Arabidopsis thaliana: one gene and its partners. The protein of the gene in region 2 interacts with the protein of the main gene of each other region in a biochemical or structural test. Each region holds a gene or a part of one and is shown on either strand. Other genes may lie near its edges.

Region 1 (4,696 bases), on a different chromosome or scaffold from region 2:
TCAAACCTCCAAAAATTCAATCTTATTATGTTTTCTACATCTACTATATACTTATCTAATGGGTCTTTCGTATATTGTAACAAAACCAGGTAGTCATTACAATCATATTAGGATCATATCAAATATGAATTAGGATTCAGCCCATTCACCTTCTCTTCAAAATCATCAAGCGAGATTCTGAGTGGTATGCAACGAGATTAATGTTTCAAACTAGAATCATAAGCTTTCTTCGCATGTTCCAAATCACTAAACCGTTTTTCAAGCTAACCAAGTATCAACCAAAGCTTGAAGAATGGTGGTTTAAAAATTCATTTGATTCTGGAATAAAATATAAGAGTTTAGACTTTATTCGGTTATTTTTAGATTTTTTTTTTTAATTCTTAAGACTTAGAAGATATTTTAGATTTTGACAAAAATCTCACAATACCGCCTAAAAAAACGAATGGAATGGTGATAGAGACAACCGAGATTAGTTGTTTTGAATTCGCGATGTTTTATTATTTTATTTTCGTCATTACTCCTACTATTTTAGTATATGTTACTATTTTAGACTTTTAGTTAGATTTAAATATTTAATTACTTTATTATTATTGTTAGACCATGGTATAATTATTTTTATATTTATATTTATACAAACTAATAATTTCTATAATATTAAATAAATTTTAATCAATTGATCCGTGGTCGAATCCGGTTGATCCATTGACCCCGTGACCTAAAAAGTAGTCTAGTTCACCATCCAGGTCGGGTTTAAAAAGATTGCATTTAAGTCTAATTATTGGGCATAGAGAATGCTGAAATAGTAAGTACATAAAGCTGGAGAATCAAACCTGATTACACTGTACAAAGCCATATAGGAAACAAGTGTCAATTCGTTCTTCTTTGATGTCCATATCATATGGACCATACGAGTCATCATCCTCCAAAGATCTTAATCTTGATTTTATATAAAAAGTTATGGGTCTTTCTTTATAGTGGTGCAGAGTTAAGGCTTTGAACATTAGAAACAACAAACTTGGAGGTACCCAAATATCTCTGATTCATATCAAATCAGTTACCAAATCACTCAGGCCGTACCAAGCAAGATATAATGCATCTGCAAGCAGATCCGAAACTGGAATGTGTCTTATGAAAACACCAAAAGTATTAAGGAAGAATTGCAAAATATACATACAAAAATTATACTATAAAAATCTTATGCAAGTGAGACTTATGCCTTATTTCATCTAAAGAAGCACGAATGTCTAATCATCAAGATTACACACTGATTTCTCGATAACTATATACAATCTTCCGGTCCCTTTCATTTTCCTCCAAAGCCAAAGCAGCAACACTGTCAAATTGCACAAGACAAACCAATGTTCAACACACACTCACTATTTGAATACGTATTCACTAATGATTATACTTGAAAATGAGTTTTAAAGAATGTCTTACTGAGGAAGTGTTGTTCGGGTTACGGGAGCTTTGATGAGTCGGCGTTCTTGAAGATCCACTCACATTTGCTCCAGAACTTCTCTCTTCACGGACTTTATTGAAGATATGCGTGTATCCGTCAGCTGATGACGGGTTGTTCTCGTCCCAGTCACCGAATTTAGGCACCACTGTGACTTTTTCAGGCTATATATAAACAGATGACAACACATAAGCAACAAACAGAGATATTCTCACTTTAGAGGTTAAAAGTGAGATTCTTACACTTTCATCAGCTCTAAGGTTGGTAGGTTTAGGCCTAGATTTTCCAGTACCATCATAAGAATTCTTATGCAAAGGTGACTTGTTGTCATAACTATTGTTCTGAGAAGCTCTTCCTTGTCTTTTGTTAGCAGCTTCATTTGATGAACCACCAGCATCACCAAACTGTTTCAACTCGCTCTCTTCTCGGCTTCTCATATGCTCACGTGATCTTCTAACCGTGTCAACTTGCTCAGGTTTGGTTCTGGAAGAAGGAGGATGAGGAGGAGCTTGTGATTGAGAGTCAGAGTTATACTCCGGGTCATTCGGGTTCATGATCTTGCTACCGGGTGCTCGAGTCTTACGAGCTTTGTCAAAGTAAGCTGTGTAAGGAACATTCTCCTCAGCTTCCCAGTTTCCAAATTTTGGTACATTCGAACGCTGTTGCAACAAACAATTCAACAACAATGTCCTTCCACAAAACATTCAATAACATAACATCCTAAAGAACAATCATCACAGAAACAAGATAGCAAATTCACTTAAGAATCCAAAACAGAACAAATACAAATTGGGTTTATCGATTTCGACCAAGTACAATGATAAAGTTGAAATCTTTGCTAAGCAAAAATAGAAACTTTACCATAAAAATAGTAACTTTCATAAAACCCTTTTCTTATCTAAAGCAAATCAGAATCATAAAGTTGAATACTAATAGACATCGCAATCCATAGAAATGTTATCTCAATAGGAAGAACCATAAATGCAAATAGATTAAGACTCAACTTTCTACAAATCCTCCAAAAAAAGGGTCAGAGATTGACGGAATCGAAACAAAAACTATAATCTGAGAGAAAGCTCTAGACCTAAATAAGAAGAAGAGGAGAAGGAAAGAAGGAAAGAAAACACTTACTGCCATGGGAGAGAGGTAGCTAAAGAATTGAAGTCTGAAGCTTTTGTTAGGTTTGAGAGAGAAAGACAGAGAGAGATGTGAGAAGGAGAGGAGACGAAGAAGAAGTTTTATAAAAGCGTTGACTAGTGGTGATGCTATGTATTCTTTGACCCTTCCTCTCCTCTCTCTAATCTTCTCTTCTCTCTTTGTCTCACTCCAAACTCTATTAATTTCATTTCTTAACTCTATTACTAAATTTTCATGTATTGTCAAGAGCACTCAAACGCCGTTACCGTTACCGTCACCGTTAAAGGCGGCTTTATTTTGGTGTCCATGTTACATTGTTTTCCTCTTAAAAGATTGTAATAAATATTTTTGTCCTAAAGAATTGGATATGTGGGTCGGAAGCAACTTTTGGTGGAATCTTCTGCTCTAGTAGATAAGTTTTGTGGATCTAATAATTATATGCTAATAGAATAATTTGATTATTGATAGCAACAATGTTACAATGTTATAGCAGAATTTAGTGAATTATTGATCTTGGATTTTAGCGGATTAATGAGTAGTAATAACTGAAATTTCTTTTGGTGACGATTGGTACCAATTCGTCTATAGATAGGTTACCATTTGAATCAACTACTTGCAATTTTTGTGATACAAATAGTACAATAACTATTTTTACAAATATCGCCATTTAACGCTAGTACGTATACTTTTATTATTTACACTCATAGTTTTTTTTAGAGAAAACTTAAAAGTGTTTTGTGAAGAGTACTACAAAGTGATAGTAAGTAAATAAAAAGTGTTCTACGAGTACAAGGAAAAAAAAAAGGCAGTATGAACAAAATAGTTAGAAAACTAGAAATGAGAAAGTTATCATCAAAGGTGGTTGACCACAACTACCTAATCTCTTTTTGATCTTAGTTGATGTTTAAGGTTTTAGCACACTAATCAAGAAACTAATTAAATGATCAATTGTTTCTTGGTTTTCACATTAAAACATCATTTATAAAACTCAACAAAATTATTCAACCAATAACAAAAGAAAGAATTGAAAATGTTTATGAGAAATTGAGAATATTAACTTCTGAAAAGAAAAAGAAAATAATCATATGGAGACTTTTTGTGTTAGCAAAGTCAAAGCTGCCTCTTTACACTGAAAGACCCTTTTGAGAATTTACGTACCTCTTTCTTCCAAGAACAAATAACATGTCTCGTAGCATCTATTATCGAATCACCAATGACAATAAGATGTTCACTAAAAACCATAATTGGAACATTATTTTAGTAATTTTTTACTAGACAAAGTTGAAAAATGGAAAGTATTCAGCGTTGTTCACATCAATTTATTTGTGGTTGCCGTAGCGATAATTATTCAATGCTCCCGTACTCATACACACGTGAACTATATAGTCCACACGTACAAGTGTTTTCACATGGTTAATGCCTTAATGGGAATATTTTAGAGATTGTTCACGAAAAAATAAGAAAGATCAAATCAAAGAAGACAGATCGTTCAGCTTCATCAGTTTCTCAACGTGAGTGTGTCTTTTTATTTTTTGTAGTCAAGTGATATGGTTAGTTAAGACTAAAGACAACTAAGAGATCGTGTGCATTCTTAATTCTTTTGGTGTTATTTAGTTTTGGAGCGTTACTCTATTTTTGGGACATACAACAATCCACCCCAAATCAAGTTTATTTTATATAAATTGGTCCACGACGGATTTCTTCTATTTGTCTCAATCCATACTCTTACGGACTATAATATATAAAATGGTTCAATCCGCAAACGAATTTGTCCGCCACAACCATACAAACCAGTGTCACAAAGCCACAAAGGTAAGGGTTTCTCAATACATTATTTAAGGGGTTTATCACTCTCTTAGTCTCTTTAATAAGTCTCAATTCTTAAGTCTCTTTCACATTTGTCAATTAACTTGAATTTGCACTTTGGTACTCTGCTTTTCTCAAAGGGACCAAGAACCTCTTGGTATTTTCTTCTCACTAAAATTGAAATTGACCCGGTTTGGTTTTCTTGTTCAACGCGTGGAATGTATTGTTAGAGTTTTTGACTAAAACCTCACTCCAAAATAGGGCCACATGAGTCAGAAATGGATGTATATATACATA
Region 2 (8,450 bases):
TTTTTGTTAGAGAGATTTTTGTTGTTTTTGTTGTTATGGTTAGTACTTTTACTCCGTTTTATAGATGGATCGGGTTAAATTTGTTCAATACATAATGAAATGTCTATCTATGTTGGTAATTTCTTTCCACTAAAATATTTGAATTTCTTTTTACATGTATTTATTTTCAACTATTACCATTAATTTCTTTATTAGAAAAGTCATATTCAACATGTTTTATCAAAACTTTCTGTCAAAAGATGATATTAGAACTAAATTCGGACAATATTTTAGATAATTCCTCGTTTGCGACGTAATACATGATGTCAAAACTATGTTACATTTAGTAGTACTTATCTTGAATTAAATAAAATTAAGAAAAAAATATGAATGGGGTGTTACTATGGCATATATCTATTACCTCTGGATTTCATTCTATATACAAAAATATTATTTTAAAATGATAATTTACACGCGCCAAATATGCGTACCAGCCACGAGGCAAAAATTACTATATAACTTTTTTTGAAAATAAAAACTAATTTTTTGTTTTTTCAAAATAAGATACAAATTATACGTAATTCCTTAGTAAAGCCTGAAAAACATCAAACTTTATTTTGGCTAAAGGACATCATAAAACCTACTATGTAATTGTCATTAACGTTTGTTTAACTAACCAAAATAAATTACTGAATCTTGAACTATAAATTCGAATATAGAGAAAATATGAAATTTTGTAAGTGTTATTAGACATCCAAATTTTAAAACCGCGTAAACTACACTACAATTTAAAATCGGAGTATGTAACCTACATAGAGCCTAACCACCTCCTAAGCCGTATTTAATAACATTGTTATATTATGTAAAGATATGATATATATCGTTAAGTAATATTATGTAGTGAAAATCCGTCACAAATCATAATAACTTGTAGTGATCAAACTTCTTGTATATAATCTACTTTGTTCTCGCGAGCACCTTAATCAATCATCCCATTTAAAAAATTTCTTTTTGCTATTAACATCTTAAATGTTAAATCTATCATTGAGCAATGTAACAGTTCTGTGTGAAGAAACAAGGAATCACTTACTTCTACATTGTCTCTTTACAAAGGAAATTTGGCACATGATAATGCTTCGGTTTGGGCAATCTCCTTATATCTTTGCAGACTTGTCTATTACCATAGGTAATCATATAAAAGTTATTATATATGAACAATGTTCCTATGGTAATAGAAATTCACATTTTATTAAAAAAACTGATACGAATAATTCAAAGAAATAAAATAACTTTTATATGATTGTCCATAAGATATAGTCAAAACGCAAAAGACTTTGCTCTAAGAAATATTAAAAAGAAAAACAACAAGACGAGGATTATTTCTTTTCAATAATTAAAACATTAGTATAAATACAATCACATGCTTAATGTAATAATGTGACAGTTTGGCCGAGTGGTCTAAGGCGCCAGATTTAGGCTCTGGTCCGAAAGGGCGTGGGTTCAAATCCCACAGCTGTCAATTTGTTTTTTTCTTTGACTCCTTTGTTCATCTTTATTTTAAAATCAATATAAACCCTTTTCGGACATTCTAAATATTTTGACCCAACCTAATGATATTCATTATTTGTCTAACGGGTCAACTTTCAAGTCTTCAAGTAAACATGATATGGAATTATATGGGTCAACTCCAAGTAAGAACAGTGCATGCATCTTGAAGACAAAATTGATTTTTTTTTTTGTTTTTAATTAATGGAAATTTTGAAATACTAATGGGTCAAGATGAGGTTGTCCAAATCAACTGATATCATATATGACCAGATTCCTCAATAGTCATTAGTCAATACAAAATCCATAATCTTTTTTAAAAATATAATCTTTTTATTTTAAATCGCCTATTTTTTTCCATTCATTTGTCCAATGTGAAAAGCCATAAATCATATATTAAGAAGTTGTGAATTGTGATCATAGGAGTAATATTTCTATCTGAACAAAAATTGAATTTTGTTTTGCTTTTTGTTGAAAGATAAATAAAATGTTTGGCAGATTGTTTGTACAGAACACAACTTGTTGATAAAACAAATTCCATCAAGACAGCTAATGAGCTTTTGATAGTCAGAGCTTTGAAGACGTGTTAATGAATTAAACTGATTAGACCTAAAACCAAATATTTAGAAAGAAAAAAATATGATAATTGTTATGTTATTTAATCAATAGTCAAATACTATGTTGAGTACCAATCATTTCAGTTTCAACGATTGCTACTCTTTTGACCAATAACAAAAAGGTTTTTATTTTTCATTTCTCAAACTCCATTTTTGTTTGTTTTTAGCATAAAAACAGCTAGAATGTGAGTTTCATATGTATTATATACTATAAGAAATCATATAAATTAACGACTAGAACATATTGTTTTCATTCTAGTGGTATATCTGAGTTTGACTAGAACGTTTGGAGGCAGATTAAAGTGATTTCGCCTTGTCAAAACTACTTTGTATATGTTATCAATCAATCGCTCAAAACTAAATCGGAAAAAAACTACATAAATAAGATATGGAAAATGATACTAACACAAACTAGTAAGTAAGTAGTCACTACATATTCTGGTCCCATGAATATGGCTTACATAGTACATACATTGTGAGATTAAATGAATATGATATATAATACAAGCATATAAGCATGTGCATGACTATGAAGTGGGAATACATTTAGTGCCTTTATATGCAACTTGACAGAATTACCAATTATGTGAATAGTGAAACTTATATTGCGTCTTGGCCTTTTCACATCCGTGACATGATCCCTCAAATCTATATCTTCTTGCGGCATATGCTTATATATAAACATATGACTTCGTCTATAGATTTATATCCAGATAATTAATTCTCTCATAATATCTTCTCCACAATTTCAACTCTTCTAAAGTCTAAACCATGAAGTTACTCTCAAAGACCTTTTTGATATTAACTCTCACCTTCTTCTTCTTTGGCATTGCACTAGCGAAACAGAGCTTTGAACCAGAGATCGAAGCTTTGAAATCCTTCAAGAATGGTATTTCCAACGACCCTTTAGGAGTATTATCAGATTGGACCATCATCGGTTCGTTACGACACTGTAATTGGACCGGAATCACCTGCGATAGTACCGGACATGTAGTCTCGGTTTCCTTGCTGGAGAAGCAACTTGAAGGTGTTCTGTCTCCAGCCATAGCGAATCTCACCTATCTCCAGGTTCTTGATCTCACTTCAAATAGTTTTACCGGCAAAATACCGGCTGAAATAGGAAAGTTAACCGAGCTTAACCAGCTTATTCTGTACCTAAACTATTTCTCTGGTTCGATTCCTTCTGGAATCTGGGAGCTTAAGAATATTTTCTATCTTGATCTTAGAAATAATTTGTTGTCCGGTGATGTTCCTGAGGAAATCTGCAAAACCAGTTCTTTGGTATTGATTGGGTTTGATTACAACAACTTAACCGGGAAAATACCAGAATGCTTAGGAGATTTGGTTCATCTCCAAATGTTTGTAGCAGCTGGTAACCATTTAACTGGTTCGATTCCGGTATCAATTGGTACTCTGGCTAATTTAACGGATTTAGACCTGAGTGGTAACCAGTTAACCGGAAAAATACCGAGAGATTTTGGAAATCTCTTGAACTTACAGTCTCTCGTTTTAACTGAAAACTTGTTGGAAGGAGATATACCAGCTGAGATCGGAAACTGCTCGAGCTTGGTCCAACTTGAGCTTTACGATAACCAGTTAACCGGGAAAATACCAGCTGAATTAGGGAATTTGGTTCAGCTGCAAGCACTCCGGATATACAAGAACAAACTTACTTCTTCAATTCCATCTTCATTGTTCCGGTTAACTCAGTTAACCCATTTGGGGTTATCAGAAAACCATTTGGTTGGACCGATATCAGAAGAAATCGGTTTTCTTGAGTCACTTGAAGTCCTCACACTTCATTCCAACAACTTCACAGGAGAGTTTCCACAGTCCATCACAAACTTGAGGAACTTGACAGTCCTAACGGTGGGGTTCAATAATATTTCCGGTGAGCTCCCGGCGGATCTAGGGCTTCTTACAAACCTTCGGAACCTTTCAGCGCACGACAATCTTCTTACCGGACCAATACCTTCCAGCATAAGTAACTGCACCGGTCTTAAACTCCTGGACCTGTCTCACAACCAAATGACTGGCGAGATCCCGCGGGGTTTCGGAAGGATGAATCTTACGTTCATTTCTATTGGGAGGAATCATTTCACCGGTGAAATTCCAGATGATATCTTCAACTGTTCAAACTTGGAAACTCTTAGTGTGGCAGATAACAACTTAACAGGAACTCTCAAGCCATTAATTGGGAAGCTTCAAAAACTCAGGATTTTGCAAGTTTCATATAACTCTCTCACTGGACCGATTCCTCGAGAAATCGGGAATCTGAAAGATTTGAATATCTTGTACCTTCACTCTAATGGTTTCACAGGGAGAATCCCGAGAGAGATGTCGAATCTCACTCTCCTCCAGGGGCTAAGGATGTATTCAAATGATCTTGAAGGTCCAATTCCTGAAGAAATGTTTGATATGAAGCTACTCTCAGTTCTTGATCTTTCCAACAACAAATTCTCAGGTCAAATTCCTGCCTTGTTCTCCAAGCTTGAATCGCTTACCTACTTGAGTCTTCAAGGAAACAAATTCAACGGGTCTATCCCTGCAAGCCTTAAGTCGCTTTCGCTTCTCAACACATTCGATATCTCCGACAATCTTCTCACTGGAACCATCCCTGGAGAGCTGTTAGCTTCTTTGAAAAACATGCAGCTTTACCTCAACTTCTCAAACAACTTGTTGACTGGAACCATCCCAAAGGAGCTTGGAAAGCTTGAAATGGTTCAAGAAATCGACCTTTCAAACAATCTCTTTTCTGGGTCTATTCCAAGATCTTTACAGGCCTGCAAAAATGTGTTCACACTGGATTTTTCGCAGAACAATCTCTCGGGTCATATACCAGATGAAGTCTTCCAAGGCATGGATATGATCATAAGCTTGAACCTTTCAAGGAACAGTTTCTCTGGAGAAATCCCTCAGAGCTTCGGGAACATGACGCATTTGGTCTCCTTGGATCTCTCTAGTAACAATCTCACTGGTGAAATTCCAGAGAGTCTCGCCAATCTTTCGACTCTGAAACATCTCAAACTAGCTTCAAACAACCTCAAAGGCCATGTTCCTGAATCCGGGGTGTTCAAAAACATCAACGCCTCTGATCTAATGGGAAACACAGATCTCTGTGGTAGCAAGAAGCCTCTCAAGCCATGTACGATCAAGCAGAAGTCGAGCCACTTCTCGAAGAGAACCAGAGTCATCCTGATTATTCTTGGATCAGCCGCGGCTCTTCTTCTTGTCCTGCTTCTTGTTCTGATTCTAACCTGTTGCAAGAAAAAAGAAAAAAAGATTGAAAATTCATCAGAGTCCTCATTACCGGATTTGGATTCAGCTCTGAAACTGAAGAGATTTGAACCAAAAGAGTTGGAGCAAGCAACAGATTCATTCAACAGTGCCAACATCATTGGCTCAAGCAGCTTAAGCACAGTGTACAAAGGTCAGCTAGAAGATGGGACAGTGATTGCAGTAAAAGTATTGAATCTAAAGGAATTCTCTGCAGAATCAGACAAGTGGTTCTACACAGAAGCTAAAACATTGAGCCAACTAAAACATCGAAACCTGGTGAAGATCTTAGGGTTTGCGTGGGAAAGCGGCAAAACGAAAGCTTTAGTGCTTCCATTTATGGAGAATGGAAACTTGGAGGACACCATTCACGGCTCTGCAGCACCGATTGGGTCGCTTTTAGAAAAAATCGATCTTTGTGTTCATATCGCAAGCGGAATCGATTATCTTCATTCTGGATATGGTTTTCCCATCGTTCATTGTGATCTGAAGCCAGCTAATATACTCCTTGACAGTGACCGCGTTGCTCACGTAAGCGATTTTGGAACTGCTCGGATTCTAGGTTTCCGCGAAGATGGAAGCACCACAGCTTCAACATCAGCCTTCGAGGGTACAATTGGATACTTAGCTCCAGGTAAATTACTCACAACACTTAATTTTCAAAACCCTAATTATGCCATCGACTTACTTGAAATACACTCTTATTTTTCATGAACAGAGTTTGCTTATATGAGGAAAGTGACAACAAAAGCCGATGTATTCAGCTTCGGGATCATAATGATGGAGCTGATGACGAAACAGAGACCAACTTCGTTGAATGATGAAGATTCACAAGACATGACTTTGCGCCAATTGGTGGAGAAATCGATTGGAAATGGAAGAAAAGGGATGGTTAGGGTTCTTGATATGGAACTCGGGGACTCTATTGTTTCTCTGAAACAGGAAGAGGCTATTGAAGACTTTCTGAAGCTTTGTTTGTTCTGTACAAGCTCTAGACCTGAAGATCGACCTGATATGAACGAGATTCTTACACATCTGATGAAACTTAGAGGCAAAGCGAATTCATTTCGAGAAGATCGTAACGAGGATCGAGAAGTTTAGCAGCAAAGCTTTTTTGATGACATTTTTTCGACTTTGCCAAACTCTGTTACGAAGGTTGAATACTTTGGACGTAAAACGTTCTGATTTTGCTTTTCGTTATGTATTTCTGTTTTATATAAGGTTGAAATTTGGTTTTGATGAACTTTTTCATATACAAATGCATTAGGCTACACATGGATACTATAGTTTCTTATTGCAGGCAGATCAGGAATAAGGTTCGTCAAGTTTTTGTCATCATGATGGAGATGACGTTTGTCCCTTCCATTTAATCATGAAACAATACCACTGCTAGTATCGGACAATAGGCAATCTCACGACGGTTATCGAGAACACAGAAGATGACTCAAAGATCAATGCCACACAAGACAATTGTGTAGACTTGCCAAGTAATAGCTGTGAAAACTAGAGTCATTACATTTTCATCTCCCCGGGTAATGTTTTCCATTCTCGGCTAGCGAACCGCAGAAATTGCAAGACTAGACTGATAGAAAACCATGTCAGTGACTGTTGAGAATGAATTCTTCTTTAAAACTTTGCAATTTCATATAATTCTTTAACATCACTATACATTTTTGGACGAACTACATATTGTTTGCTTAATCCTTACAAAACAAAATCTAAAGAATATAGCACAAAAAATTGAAAACTTTAAATCGGAGACAATTACTTCGCTTTTGTATGGCAATAGAGAAAAGTAGTTGAGCGATGTTGGTCTATGCGGTTCTTGGTTCTGCCTTTGGTGAACGTCCTTTGAAGCTGAATGTGCACAAGAAAATGATCAACAAAACTAACTTGTCTTTTTACTTATTTTCCTTTGCTTTGATGCGACCACAATGAAGAAACACAAAGAACAAACACTTGTTTTTGCCTGTAAATGACAGAAATCAACAAAGTTTTCGTTAGATTTTTTATGAGTGGATGGCCAATGAGAATGATTTGGGGACTCACGGTTTCTAACGATGAATCTGAAGAAGAACGAATGAGAAGCAATAGAGTGGAAGAGCGATGGCAATCCCAGCTATGAAGTTAGAGAAGAGTCGCTTGTTGTCTTTTGTGGGTACGAAAACCGTCTTGAGTGTGTTGGTTAGTTCAAAGAGACGGTGAGATACCTGGCGAACAAGAACAAATAGAGATGTTTCAGAAAGCTTGCTAATAGAAAATACGGGGAGAGAAGAAGTTACGGTTTCTTACAAGGACGTATATAGCAGTTGTCAGCATGAAATTGAGCATAGGGTATCCCGGAATAATAGAGAGAAGCCATTTTGGTTGCCCGTCAGGCATGTTTGATCTGAAAATTGGTGTCTTTGATTTAACAAATACGCTTCCAGGAAAAGATTAAGTCACAGAAAACAAACCTTAGCCATATATGAAACTGGGAAATGTAAGTCTCTAAAGTGATCTTGCCAAGCCACCTGCGCAGAGAAATGTAAAGAGTTTTACATGGAAATGAGGCAAGCATATCAAACCAGGTTTTAGTTTAAATGTAAGTACGAGTTGACTCACGCAAAGAGAGTCAATGAGACACTTCGAAGCTGGTGGGTGAAATTCCGAAGGCATATGTAAACACTGGAACCCAGAAATCAAATGGTGAGTCATGTTTCAGTTTCAGCAAGTGACATAAGAGACAAATATAAAGACCAATAAAAAAAGAGTTTTATGCACAGACGTGATGGGGATCCATGATGTGTACGGATGATACATGTTGTAACTGGTCCTGTCCAGCTTGTAGATACATTCATACCACACATAGCCAACCTAAAATGTGACCAAACGGGAAAATTATATCAATCTGTACAATGGGAATGGTGCAATTACCAAGCTAAAAGATGACTAAATGACTTACAAGCACAGTAATAGTAACAATAGCGGCCTTTATGGATAGTCTTTTCTTCGTTTCACAGTCCTCTAACTTCTCCATCCATCTCTCTACCT
Region 3 (5,988 bases), on a different chromosome or scaffold from region 2:
GATACTTGGGAATACAGCTCTAGGAGCATCATCACCTGCAAAACCAGCCTACACGCACATAGTTGAATTGCTTAACTTATGGCACATAATAACATTCACAAATCTTGTTTCTCTAAAGCTTTTTGATTACCTTGACCATTCCAGTCCCGTTATCGCAAACGAGCGGCTGAATATCTTCACCGTCCGCCATTTTTCAATCTCTAGCTGATTACATCAACATAAGAAACATAGCAAATTCAAAGGAAACACCAATAATTAATGCCAATCTCATAACTAAATCTAAAACAATAAAATGTAACCATTAAATCTAATTCGTTACGTATACCATAATCAAACGCATTAGCGTTACATTTATATTGGTTTTGCCTCCTTGTGATCAAAATTTTGACATCAAATAAACAAAAAAAATAACATGTACCTGATGAATTTACGTAGATCTAGAAGAAAAGAAAGAGGTTGTGGAATCGTGCCCTGAAATTGGGTTTCAAAAATTTCTGGAAAACAGAAGCAACTTTGGCCCTTAATATCGTTCATACACGGGTCTGAGCCGTTAGTTTTCTTCATTGAGACCAATATCTCAGCCTCTATAGACACGTGTCCATCTATTTTTAGGTTGGAGAATTAAGAAAACACCAGCCTAACCTGAAAATACGGTTTAGGCTCTGTTTTACCGGAAGAATCGGGTCACCGAACAAGCATGAGTGGTAATGAGCCCATTTGGGCCTAAGAAAAAGGTTAAAAGGCCATTTTCTTTAGATTATTCAATTTTAGACAATCAGTGAAATTTCAGTAACATTTCCTTCTAGTTTCTAGTAATTTATGTGTTCAACCGAAATTTCAGTGCTATGTAAAAGAGTGCTATCCAAACTATAATTAAGAAAAAGGGTAAAAGATCTTAGTGGGTGAGGTATGGAAATTGCTGAAAAAGTTCTGGGAAGAATGAGAGTAATGATGATAACGGTAATTGACAAATGTGATAATGATGATAGGGATATGTGCAAGTAAAATAATCAAGCATGTGCATAAGATTCATTATTTGACATGAGACTTTATTATGTGTTTTTGCTTATTATAGTTTCTTACAAAACAAATGAAGAAAGTAGTGAACAACATACAACAATACTAAATAACAGTGTGATTGTTGAAGAAATAGTTTCCATTTAATATTTAAAACTAGGCTTCCAAGGCCTTGACAAATTTCATTAGAGAAGGATTTATTTTTAATTAGTGGAATATATGATCAAGAAAATAAATTGACATTTTGGTATAGATTAGGGACATTGGAGACAGAGGGGTTGATTTTGAGATTGAATTTTGACTTTTCTGTGTATTTAGCTTTTAGCCACCAATTAAAGCAAACATTCATTCATTTTGTCATGTTGATCGCTGCACTTATCTAACTAGAGTATTATTCCCTTTTCGAGGTACCCAGAGGATTAAGCATTTTTTTTAAAAAAAGAGCCTAATACTTTACCTAATAACAAGAAACATGTAGAGTAGAAACAAGTAAAAAAAAGTTTAAAAGAAGAAGGATTAGATCAAAAGAAATAACTATTTTAGGATAATTTCGTTGTCCAGTTGAACTATTTTTAATTTTTCTTTTTAAAATATTTTCTTGCATGATTAGAGAGATAGAGGTATAAAACCTTTTTAATTCTTCAATTATCACTAAATCCAAAATTATAAATGCATTAACAATTTTGTTCTTCTATGACACCCCAAAAATGTCACCAACTACAGCAAAAAAGTGACCACTATATCCGTAAAAATTCGTATATTCAATCCGTGAAAATATAATAGTTGAAAAATATTCAAAATTTCACAAGAAAATTAGTAATTTTATAGAGAAATAATTTAAATGATAATATAATATATTAATGTAAAAAATAAAACAAACACAATCGTAACCGGTCCCGCGGCTTCGTGGTCGAATTTACCTTTGTTCCGGTTTAGTTCTTAAGCCGAGAGAATCGTACAAGTTGCAATAAGCTAAAGCCGTCAGCTAAACGACGCCGTTTTCGAAAAGTCCTCGTCTTCTCTCTCACACAATCTCTCTTTCTCAGAAATCTCTCTCTTTCGCACTTTCTGCAAATGGTTCTCTTCTTCCTTTAAGCTCAATCTCGCCACTGGAGTCTCAATCGGGAAAGATCTCCATCTTCTCCGGAGGAAAAACGGATCCGTAAATCGTGAATTTTTAAACAGAGAAGAATCAATTCAATGGAGGAAGAGAAAGCTTCTGCTGCACAGAGCTTAATCGATGTAGTTAACGAGATTGCTGCGATTTCTGATTATCGTATAACAGTGAAGAAGCTTTGTTATAATCTAGCGAGGAGATTAAAGCTGCTTGTTCCTATGTTTGAGGAAATTAGAGAAAGTAACGAACCGATCAGCGAAGATACGTTGAAGACTTTGATGAATTTGAAGGAAGCTATGTGTTCAGCGAAGGATTATCTCAAATTTTGTAGCCAAGGGAGCAAGATTTATCTGGTGCGTTTCTTCTTCGATTTATTAGCATCTATGATTAGATCTGTGTGGTCACTGAGAATTTTTGTTCTCGTTGACGAATTGGTGTTTTCATTGAATGAGAGAGCCACGTGCTTTGTTTTGCTATGGTAGTGTTTGAGTGATATCAATGCTTCTTTGGTATTTGATTAGATGTTAGATTTGGTAGTGGTTGATGTGACTTGATTGATCTATGGAAGTTGTTGAGAATTTGTGCTCTGATACACAAGAGATGTTGTTGTTCTGTGTGTAGGTGATGGAGAGGGAACAAGTGACAAGTAAATTGATGGAGGTGTCTGTTAAGTTAGAACAATCTTTAAGCCAGATTCCATATGAAGAACTCGATATATCGGATGAAGTTAGAGAACAGGTAAATTCTTGAAACCCAAGGCTGGCTAGGCCAGTGTCTGGATCAGTAAAGACGACATGTAGTTGATTCATAGCGTTTTTTTGGTTGTTGTAGGTTGAGCTGGTTCTTAGTCAGTTTCGGCGAGCTAAAGGAAGAGTAGATGTATCAGATGATGAGCTATATGAAGATCTTCAGTCGCTTTGCAACAAAAGTAGTGATGTAGATGCTTATCAGCCTGTGCTAGAGCGGGTTGCGAAGAAGTTACATTTGATGGAGATTCCTGACCTAGCTCAAGAATCAGTGGCTCTGCATGAAATGGTTGCTTCAAGCGGTGGAGATGTTGGTGAAAATATTGAGGAGATGGCAATGGTATTAAAGATGATTAAGGATTTTGTGCAGACGGAGGATGATAATGGCGAGGAGCAGAAAGTAGGAGTTAACTCTAGAAGCAATGGACAGACTTCTACGGCAGCGAGTCAGAAGATACCTGTGATTCCTGATGATTTTCGCTGTCCGATTTCGCTGGAAATGATGAGAGATCCAGTTATTGTTTCATCAGGGCAGGTATAGTTCACTTCAACCTCAGCTTCTTCAAATTTATTTCTGCGATCTCTTAAGATTTAATTATAGAAGCATGTTCTCCTCTATGTATAGACATACGAACGCACATGTATTGAGAAATGGATAGAAGGTGGACACTCGACATGTCCAAAAACACAGCAGGCGCTAACAAGCACAACCCTCACACCAAACTATGTTCTCCGTAGTCTCATAGCTCAGTGGTGCGAGGCCAACGATATTGAGCCTCCAAAGCCTCCGAGCAGTTTAAGACCCAGAAAAGTATCGTCCTTCTCATCTCCCGCAGAAGCGAACAAGATTGAAGATCTTATGTGGAGACTTGCGTACGGAAACCCCGAGGACCAACGATCTGCAGCTGGGGAAATCCGCCTTCTTGCAAAACGAAATGCAGACAACCGCGTGGCCATAGCCGAAGCTGGAGCCATACCTCTTCTCGTAGGTCTCCTCTCAACTCCTGATTCTCGTATTCAAGAACATTCGGTAACAGCTCTTCTAAACCTCTCCATATGTGAGAACAACAAAGGAGCCATTGTTTCAGCTGGAGCTATTCCTGGTATAGTTCAAGTGCTTAAGAAAGGAAGCATGGAGGCCAGAGAGAATGCGGCGGCTACACTTTTCAGTCTATCAGTGATCGATGAAAATAAAGTGACTATCGGTGCCTTAGGAGCAATTCCGCCACTCGTTGTATTACTTAATGAAGGTACACAAAGAGGCAAGAAAGATGCTGCTACTGCACTCTTTAACCTCTGTATATACCAAGGAAACAAAGGAAAAGCTATACGTGCAGGAGTGATTCCCACGTTGACTAGACTCTTGACAGAGCCCGGAAGCGGAATGGTCGATGAGGCACTCGCGATTTTGGCGATTCTCTCTAGCCACCCCGAAGGAAAAGCAATCATAGGATCCTCTGATGCAGTCCCAAGTTTGGTTGAGTTTATCAGAACTGGCTCGCCTAGAAACAGAGAAAACGCAGCTGCTGTTCTAGTCCACCTCTGTTCTGGAGACCCACAACATCTTGTCGAAGCGCAGAAACTCGGCCTTATGGGTCCATTGATAGATTTAGCTGGAAATGGGACGGATAGAGGGAAACGAAAAGCAGCGCAGTTGCTTGAACGCATCAGCCGTCTCGCTGAACAGCAGAAGGAAACGGCTGTGTCACAACCGGAAGAAGAAGCTGAACCAACACATCCAGAATCCACCACAGAAGCTGCAGATACTTAAAGATTGTCTTTGTTTTGGATCCTCGGGTCATCTCTTTCACGTACGTATGTTTATTATTCTCACTTTTTGTTTGTGCTACTCATCCTCCCTCGAGGTAGGATTCACGGTAGACGCGGAAGAGGGAAATGGCCTCCTTCTCCGATCTACTTTTAACTTTATGGTGATATCTTTGTGTGGACAGAGCAATCTGGTCCACAGGAGAGAAAAGCAAATATGCATACATACACGTCAACTTGTATCATTGTAACACTATGTTTGTAATCATTTCCACGAGCTTTTTTTTGTTTTCAATACAAGATCTCTCTGTTCGCTTTCTTAATAGCATTGAGATACTAATTGAATATAATGCAGATTCCCATTTTTCATGAACAGATGCGTAAACTGCTTGTAGAGTCGATAGATTCCATGCATAATGTTTCAATACAAGTATACAAAACTATCAAATAGTAAAATCTCAACCCGTTTTAAAATTTCTTAGAGAATCCATAGAACAAATATGTCTCCAAGCACAAATATAACATGTAATGTGACTCCACTACACTCATCACAAGTAGAGACCATTCCTTCGGATCATAGAGAGAGAGAGAGAGAGAGATAGAACACATCAAATACATTTCCAGTGTTAGATTATTATATATGTCGAACTACTTTACTAGATGTATTGTGCAAATAGATTCAAAAAGGGGTTGTTTAATTAGGGTTTAAGATTTTAGCAAAGTAAGGATATGAGTTTATTGCCCAAATCCAAGGTGTTCGGCTTTAATGTCGAAAACCAGAGATGGAACTATGAGATACTGTTTACAATGCGGTGACCCCTTTTGTAACATCTGCAAAGATGCGTGGCATAGTAACTTGTCGTGCGAAGATTACAAGAGATTGGGTCCAAATCCTACAGAAGATGATATAAAGTTCGAATCTTTAGCAAATCAGAATATGTGGCGTCAATGTGGAAATTGCAACCAAATGATTGAATTTTCTAATGGATGCATCAGAGTAACATGCATGTATCATCATCATCACATATTCACATTCTCTATCTGTTATAATTAATCCTTTTAGAATCTGTTTATGTTTTCACGTAATTAACAGTATCGTAATGTTCATGGTTGATGGATATCATATAGATGTGGCTACAAATTTTGTTACATATGTGGAGCCCAATGGAAGACATCAAGACAGGAGGAAGTTCCCCTCATCGAGAAAGCATGGTTGCGGAGGATGATCGTATGCGTAATTATCTTATGGGCGTTATGAGCGTTTCCGTAGCCACTAGAATGGTTCTACACTTGTGATGAGTGTAGTGGAGTCACTTTAAACGCGGGTTGATTTAATAGATT

Evidence for each region. The genes of interacting proteins can lie anywhere in the genome.
Region 1: the proteins of FLS2 (region 2) and RIN4 form a complex in vitro, tested with the Arabidopsis thaliana proteins (one study listed by BioGRID).
Region 3: of the proteins of FLS2 (region 2) and PUB13, one has a biochemical effect on the other in vitro, tested with the Arabidopsis thaliana proteins (2 studies listed by BioGRID, with this or other methods).

Annotation. Positions count from the first base shown.
Region 1 is NC_003074.8:9,130,355-9,135,050, reverse strand, and holds RIN4 (RPM1 interacting protein 4), read right to left. Parts: upstream 2,914-4,696; 5' UTR 2,594-2,913; coding exon of another isoform or gene 2,588-2,593; 5' UTR 2,161-2,587; coding exon 1,699-2,160; intron 1,621-1,698; coding exon 1,438-1,620; intron 1,334-1,437; coding exon 1,304-1,333; 3' UTR 963-1,303; downstream 1-962.
Region 2 is NC_003076.8:18,788,890-18,797,339, forward strand, and holds FLS2 (Leucine-rich receptor-like protein kinase family protein), read left to right. Parts: upstream 1-2,685; 5' UTR 2,686-2,912; coding exon 2,913-6,051; intron 6,052-6,135; coding exon 6,136-6,518; 3' UTR 6,519-7,019; downstream 7,020-8,450. Other genes in the region: RWA1 (O-acetyltransferase family protein), read right to left, coding at 7,472-7,627, 7,710-7,806, 7,874-7,930, 8,022-8,084, 8,185-8,273, 8,362-8,448.
Region 3 is NC_003074.8:17,122,769-17,128,756, reverse strand, and holds PUB13 (plant U-box 13), read left to right. Parts: upstream 1-1,859; 5' UTR 1,860-2,217; coding exon 2,218-2,487; intron 2,488-2,755; coding exon 2,756-2,872; intron 2,873-2,965; coding exon 2,966-3,415; intron 3,416-3,505; coding exon 3,506-4,651; 3' UTR 4,652-5,026; downstream 5,027-5,988. Other genes in the region: ACT12 (actin-12), read right to left, coding at 1-48, 131-190. UniProt on the Arabidopsis thaliana protein: Functions as an E3 ubiquitin ligase.